Bombyx mori: one gene and its partner. Each later gene encodes a partner of the first gene's protein in a complex. Links are inferred from orthologs where the notes say so. Each region holds a gene or a part of one and is shown on either strand. Other genes may lie near its edges.

What was found. The genes of interacting proteins can lie anywhere in the genome.
Region 2: the proteins of vacuolar protein sorting-associated protein 51 homolog (region 1) and Syx6 are in contact, whole or in part, in a crystal structure (PDB 4J2C), measured with the Homo sapiens proteins. The link is inferred for Bombyx mori from reciprocal best matches to the Homo sapiens genes VPS51 and STX6. Residues at the interface, in NP_037397.2 of Homo sapiens: Ala33, His34, Met36, Leu37, Leu39, Tyr40, Tyr41, Gly42, Leu43; in NP_005810.1 of Homo sapiens: Met3, Glu4, Asp5, Pro6, Phe7, Val9, Val10, Glu13, Trp59, Asp60, Asp63, Leu64, Glu66, Thr67, Ile70, Val71, Phe78, Arg88.

The regions. Positions count from the first base shown.
Region 1 is NC_085115.1:1,408,556-1,412,649, forward strand, and holds vacuolar protein sorting-associated protein 51 homolog, read right to left. Parts: upstream 2,803-4,094; 5' UTR 2,433-2,802; coding exon 333-2,432; 3' UTR 1-332. Other genes in the region: uncharacterized protein LOC101737848, read left to right, coding at 3,595-3,769. UniProt on the Homo sapiens protein: Acts as a component of the GARP complex that is involved in retrograde transport from early and late endosomes to the trans-Golgi network (TGN).
Region 2 is NC_085107.1:6,217,327-6,221,353, reverse strand, and holds the start of Syx6 (syntaxin 6), read left to right. Parts: upstream 1-1,216; coding exon 1,217-1,251; intron 1,252-2,840; coding exon 2,841-3,011; intron 3,012-4,027. UniProt on the Homo sapiens protein: SNARE promoting movement of transport vesicles to target membranes. Targets endosomes to the trans-Golgi network, and may therefore function in retrograde trafficking.

The sequences.
Region 1 (4,094 bases):
TATAAATAATTGTTTGTTTATTTAATACTAGCGACCCGCCCTCGCTTCGCTTCGGAAACATTAAAACACACATGAAACCAAAAAAAAAAAAAAAAAGTAGCCTATGTTCATCAGGGACAATGTCGGCTTCTAATGGAAAAAGAATTTTTCAAATCGGTCCAGTAGTTTCGGAGCCTATTCGAAAGAAACAAACAAACAAATCTTTCCTCTTTATAATATTAGTATAGATAGTATAGATTTAAGATTGGTATTTAAGTCCCTAGACTAATCTAAATTTGAATCATATGATAATTAAGCCAGTTTTATCAATACAAGCATCATGTTCTTCTCCTTCAACCTCTTTCACAAATAATATCTACAATACTAGGTTCCATTAGTTGTGGGTCAACGCATCTCAACTGTGCTGATGCTAAAGCATCTTCAAGCAAAGCATTTAGAAGCCTCTCATCATTGCCCATACATGAAAGCCTTTGCTGTAGAAAGTGAACATCAACTTGTAATTGCTGTAGGCCATGCCTTCCAAATGTGCGTAGGCGCACACATTCAACTAATGCTTTCAAAGCTACTTTTAGGGCACCATTTGATAGTGCAGCTCTGTCTGCCCCTGCAGGACTAAACACTTCAATTCTTTCAGAGAATATCCTATTAAGAGGTGAAAAAGAAGAAGGAGCACGTGACCAAATAGTACGCCGACTGGAGTCACTAGAAGGTTTAATACTAGTTGGAAACAGTTGAGATGCAGCACCATCAGCACTAGCTAAGGTCTCCACTACTCTTCTGCATACTGCTCTTGGCCCCCTTGGTTCTGGAGCTCGCAACCAATCTCTAGCTAATACAGATACTCTCAACATTTGGGCTGCAGTCTGGCCAATAAATACAACTTCTGAATCTAGTGCAGTCTGCGCTGCAGTAGATAAGTGGACCATGACACTACTAGTATCCTTGTTATCCACAGTGAGGCCAGGAGCAGCCTCTTCTAAGAGTTTGAGAAGATGGTTCTGTAATGTCGAGACACCAGTCTCTTGCATATCCAAACATAGCTTAGCTAGTATAAGTAGCAATTCAAAAGGAATGTTGTTATTTGAAGTCTGAAGGCAAGCCATCTTTTTTACCAGATCAGAAAGATTAGCCATAGTTTCATTTATGACTTTTGAGCAAGCATCAGCTACTGCTTTTGCACACCAAGGTTTTAATCCAAATGATAAATTATTTTGTAAGAATGCCATTAGATCTAAGAGTGAGGCTTGGATTTTTTGCATCAGATATACTTGAAGGGAGTTCAGTATATCTTTTAAGTCAATTGTTTCTGATCCTTTACTGGCCAAAGACTGCCTTACTTTCATAAGACTGTCTTTAAATTGAGTCTGTATGCTCTGGTACTGTACCATAGCCTTGTGATTTATACACTGAATGACAACCTCAGTGCCTTTACTGGACATCATATCACTTGATGATATTTCGGTCATAGCCTGGAGTTTTCTGAAGAATTTATCAAGGCCCCTTATTAACATTTCAGTTCCGTTGTTCTCAGGTCTTTTAATGACCTCTTCGAATAAATGAAAAATTTGAATCATTATTTTATCAGCAAATTCGGGTATGATAGCTTCCTGTTCGAACATTTCATTGTAACATGATATTATAATAGCTAAATCAGCCAACAATGTATTATTGCATTTTTCTACCCAGTCCAAAATGTCTGTATGTTCAGCTATAGAACTGAGCATCTGCAAGTGTTTGTCAAGACGACTCTCTGCACAACTAAGGAATATATCTTGTAAGGATGAATCACTTTCTTGGAGCTGCCTTAAAAGGGCTACACTTTCAGCAAGTTCAGTTGCAGATGTATTAGGACTGATAAGTCTTTCACGGAGTGTCTTCTTCAGTTCAAATATAATTTCTGAACACTCAGTCTGTATGCTTTGGAATGAAGGCTGATTGCCATATTTTTGGAGTACTCGCTGAGCATGTGAATAGTCTTGTACAGCATCACTGTATCTGCCTTCTGCTATTGCTTTGTTAAGTTGAGAAGGTAGAAGGAAAAGGAACTGAAGTTTATCTAACAGCTGTCTTGTACCACACAAACGTCGAACATTATTACCGCTGCCTTGGAGATTTTCAGATATTTGAGAGCTGAATGTAGTTATTTTATTGATATTCTCGCTAAGTTTATTCATTTCTTCTTGCATTATTTTAAAATCGGAACGCATTTTGCGTACAGTTTCGGTCGCCGAAATAAATTTATTATAATTTTCATAAACCAATGTCTGCATTTCTGATTGTAGAAATTGACTTTGAGTTACAATTTCCGCTTCTTTGTCCATTACTTGCTTTAGGGTAGCGCATTTTAGAAGACAATCTAAGTAGACGTCTGGGCTGAAACTACTGCTGTCGATGTCCAGAGGATTTTCTTTAACCGCTTTGGCTTCCTCCATATTATGTACTTTGTTCAATAGGTATAAAAGTGATTCGTTTAAAGCTAATCTCCTTAATAAAATATATTTGCGGTTTATTGGTTCGTCTGCAATTCTAATTTACCAAAGAGAATAACTATTTAGAAACACAACATTTCAGCTGCGAGGACTGACGTCGATAAGACCTTATGAGAATGAGAACAATTATGTTTATTTATACTATTTCCTACTTTACTAATACTCCGTCTTATAAATGCAGTTTTAGAATAAACATTAAAGCTTATATATTTTATTTCTGTATATACAATAATGAACATATGTATACATTGTATACTATACATACATATAGGTATGTACGTTTGATAATATTTCCCCATTTTTTTAAATAATTTTTTCTGGCTTGGAAACAAAGTCTTTTAAGCCAAATTAGCTTTTATTATTAAAATTTATGCAAGGTAATCTTTATCATACGTACTGCTATGTACTGCGTTTTTTGAATATTTTATGACTGGCCTGGTAACAAGACCTTTAAGCGAAGTACTCAGTACTTACTAGTCCACTGAGTTTCTCGCCGGATCTTCTCAATGGGTCGCGTTTCTGATTTGGTGGTAGATTTTGCAAAGCACTGCTCTTGCTAGGGCCAGTGTTAGCAACAGTTTGAACCGGTTTGAACCCTGTGAGCTCACCACGTCAAGGCGAAGCTGAAATAGCCTCTCAAAGCTATCAGCATTGGTAGGGAAAAGTACTTATATTCATTTTAATTATATTACTTATGAGCATACACGGGTAATGCACTAAATATAGAAAAGAACCACGGGTACTGTATTATTTCCTATGGTAGTTCAGAAGATCCATGGTGGAACATCCACGCAGCCTTCCTCTTCTTCTTATTACGTTATCTCATGTTATTGCCCTTATCTCACTTCTTTTAATTCTCTTTTAATTCTTTTAATATATCCCATCGCTCCTTTTGAGTTTTCTGACAACAGCCAGCCTTTCATAACAAAATATTTGGTTGTATAGTCAAATATATCTTTGCCTATAATAACGAATCAACCAAAAAAATATATTTTGAAGTTTGTGTGTTTAAATTTGAAAACTTTCTGTTGCGAATTGTTTTGTGATTTTTTTGCTAAAATACTTCTCATATACAATAGAAAACTTGGGAGCAAAAAACGTAAGGATGGCTCCTCGAGATGTCCCCAAACCTACGCCTAAAGTGCAACGAATTGTAGGGAAGACTAATCAGACTAAAGGACGCGCTTCGCCTGCGTCTGTTAAGAAAACGATGTCGTCTATCAAAAAGGCGACTGACAAGATACCTTTAAAATGTAAGATTCCATTTTTACACTCTCGAGGTGAATCTATTCAATATCTCTTCCTTAGGCTTGAGGTTTGAATTTCCAAAGATTTCTCAACGGATGTTCTTCAATTCCGAGAGCCGTAGGCCTTTAATTAAAATTTTTTTTTTTAAATCTCGTTTAAAGTTTTCATTTTATTATTTCCGACTTTTAGTGATCACAAACGGCTTATGTATTATTCGCCAACATTTGCATATTGCTCTAAGAACGATCTTATCAAGAGAATCAAACTTGAAATCCTTAAAATGCAAATTGTAGTTCCTATTTACATCCGAGGACGTCGTGTATTAAAACCAAATAACATAAGTAGCAACTGAAAAAT
Region 2 (4,027 bases), on another chromosome or scaffold:
ACTTTGTATTCCTAAATTTTGTTGTTGTTAACAATCCGGAATAAGAGTCAGCGACAGAATTAATTTAAGTTCACGTATTCAAGCTAACGATAATGATTTTTTTTTTGCTTAGATGGGTGCACGAGTTCACAGTCCACCTGGTGTTAAATGGTTACTGAAGCCCATGGACATCTACAACGTAAATGATGCCACCAGCCTTGAGATATGAGTTCTAAGGTCTCAATATAGTTACAACGGCTGCTCCACCCTTCAAATCAAAACGCGTTACTGCTTCACGGCAGAAATAGGCCGGGTGGTGGTACCTACCCATGCGGACTCACTGGATTGCATAATTATTATTTTTATAATTCAACAATTCTCCTTAAATAATTACAACGTAAAATATTTAGCTTTATAGTTATTACATAAGTCTGGTTCTGATTCTTCTTCTTTTCAGGCGTATGCACTCTTGGGAGAGTGGTCGTGTCGTGGTCATCAGTTCGGGTGCTGGTGCGCTTCACATATTGCTTCGGAGTAAGCATCTTTTTTAGGAAGAAAAATGTGATCAGGGTGTACGTGCAAACAGCTGCCAGAATTTTGTGCTCTATAGGTTTGAATTAGGAAGCATATATTGTACCATAGACAATAACATTCATAATGTACAACAATAACAAAAAAGTTTATAAATACAATAAATGTATGTACAAAATCACTATTTTTTTTCGAAGTTTTGTTTTATACACTGTACTATGATACATTTTATATTTAATTATTAAAATTCGAAGTGTATTAGTTACATACAGCTATATATTGTGCAGCAATACAAGTTCTAGAGTAAAAAAAGTGACAAAACCAAAACTGAACTCTGAAAGAAGGGAGGCAACGAGGTGGTAATAGATTGATAGTGTGGGGCTATTGTGGGGTGAATCTAAGCAGGGTTTGTTGTGAGTTCTCCCGCCCCGAAATAAGTCCTCTGCGGTTGCGCACTGCAGAGCGTTTTGCCACTCTGCGCTGTTTGCATTTTACATGAGCGAGCAAGGGATAGAGAATAAGGCTTCATCGAGCGAGCTTTAAACAGGGTAGGTATCACACTCGATATTCTGTGGGTTGGTCGCCAAGCCGAGGTATTGTACGAGTGTAAGAGAGTGTGCATTTATGGTTAAATTTACAGTTTAAAATTTTAGAAAATCCACAATCACATGGTTCTTTTAAAATTTTTGTTTTATTTTTTGTTGACATGACTTTAGAAGATCCTTTCTACGTCGTTAAAGAGTAAGTGGAGTAAAGTAACTGTTCATTTATATTAATAGATGGCATTGCAGCTAGGGTAAGGTAATTGTTTCCAGTGGGTGGTGCTGAATATTACATGATACTGTGTAGCAAAAAGCAAAGGCTGAAGTTAAGGTTTATATACGAATATTGATTTAATAATGAAAACGAATTTAGTATTGTGCATCTTTTTACTGTTAAAAATAAATGTAACACACTTTAAAATAATTAAGTGTCATTTGTGGACTATAATTAAGTAACATAAAAGTACGAAATCAACTCAATCTAGTCTAGTTTTACTTCTAAGACATCACCTAAAGTAATATCAGCTAGGAGGAGAAAAACTGACAAAGTACAGGTCTTGTTTATTCTTGTTTTTATAGCTATTTTAATAGCAAAATGAATAACTTTGTTTAAGTATGTGATGAGAAAGTTTAAAATTTTCATAGAAGATCCAATATTAATATTCTTATAATATATATACAGTATAATATTTATGAAACTTAAAATTTATTGGATTTAAATAAATTGAATATTTATTAAATTACAATTTTAAATATCGTTACAAAATGTCCTATTGCTATTGCACATCAAAATAGATACTTAGATTTTAATATTTTTTTTATTACATATTTGGGTGAACACACTAATTAACAACTCATTCAACTGTTATATTAAGTAATTGCTTTATTGATCTTCAAGTAGAAAGATCTTATGAGAAATAATAACATTTAACATTATGTATATGGCTATAGGATTATTATAAATAATTGTAGGATTAAATAGTAGGAATAGGAAGAATTAAATAGTAAATGGGCTCATACTTTGAGAACTATCATTTTTTATTGCCTTTGTAAAAAGACCGTATGATCCATCTGATGGTAATTAACCTTCATAAGCTATGTACATGAGCAATTTCAAGGGTACAGCCAAGCTGATGCCTAATTTTGAGGACACTTACATCTCGTTTGAAGAAAGACATGTCATAGCTGTCAGAAAACATGTTAGAGGGAGGTTCATTTCAAACTCAGCTACAGCAGTAAGTTTCTAATGACCAAATTTTGATGTTACTCCCATGACTTGAAGGTTTTTGACATGTTCTCAAGAGCTTTTGCTTCAAATTCGGACGAGGAATGTTAAAAATTCAAATGCTTTGTTGATTGTTGGATCAAATGATTGATTGAATGAAATGATTTGGTGAAATGTGATTAATTTTTACTGGTGGTAAGCGTCTTGTGAGTCCGCAGGGGTAGGTACCACTGGTAGGTGATTCTGTTTGAAGGGTGGAGCAGCCTTTGTACTTTAAAATTAAGACATTAGAACTCATATCGCAAGGTGGGTGGTGACATTTACATTCTATAAGCCTGTGGGCTCCAGTAACTATTTAACTCCAAATGGGACATGAGCTAGTCCACCCAAGTAATAAATAATAAAATAAATAAACAAATGTAGTACTTAAGAACGAAATTAACTTTTCTTTTAGACACACAATACTCAAGGAGTTTTTCAAAATATTTGTGAAACCCTATATATTTTGTATATGACATCAGCTTTGACTTACTATATTAACTTTTGGTACTTTTCTGACACAGTGAGGTGTTCAAAGCACTGAATAAGACTCGTGGTTTGTACCTACGCTGGCAGGAGATTTGTAAGACTCCAATAATTGCAAGTAGTCCAGAAGTAGAATGGACTTCGACTGAATTGAAAAATGCACTGCGCAGCATTGAATGGGATTTGGAAGATTTAGAAGATACAATAAATATCCTTTAAAATTATTTTATATTTTGTAAAATAGTGATGATGTATGTGTTTGTTGTAGATGCTTTTTAAATTGATAAACTTATCAGTTAAATGTTAACAAAAACATTCCATTAGATTTATTTGTGCTATCTCAAATTCCAACATTACTAATTTTCATGGTCCTTAATGTTTTGTTATTTCGGGTTATTTAATATATTATTTACAAATTCCTTACCTTCACACTAGCTTCTTAAAATTTTATTTTATAATTCTTTAGTTTGTCACATGAGTCCACTTGCTGTTTATTAGTCATGACAACAATTCATAGATACCATATCACATTATGGTGGCAATCTGCCATCACCTGCTTGGTGACATGAAGTAGAGATTTCAGTTGTATTATACAATGACTGTCTTTCCCATCAAGCAGAAATGCATGAAAGCTTTACAAACACAAGTAAGCAGTTCCCATTATAAATATGCAGCGTTCATATTAGAAGTATTTTACTCTGAGAAAACTTACACATCATCTTATCATTATTAGAATTCATTAATAAAATATCAATACAAGAGTACTTTTCTGTTAGGACATTCACATAATTTTGTATTAGTTACATGAATATTATGTTTATACCTTATTATATGGTCTATTATTCTAGATGAGCAATGAAAAGTGACAAGTTGCAATGTAATGAGATTTATTTAGACCCCAAAAAAATTGGAAAACTGAAAATATAGCGGTCATAGGATAGGATAGGTCATTCACATTTGAACTAACAGGCATACATGCTAATGATCTGTTTCGTGATCTTGCCCAAATTACACAGAATTCACCTAATATTAAATTGATATCATCAAATAGCATCGCTTAAGTTCTTGGGTTTAAAGGGTCATTGATTTGTATGTATGCATACAATAATAACTGTGATAAATCTAGCATCTTGTCATAAGACAATTTCGTCCGGTGGTGGGTTCGTCAAAAACTAATTTAGGAATAGAATAGAGAACAGTAACCTAGATCTTCTCTTACGTGAAC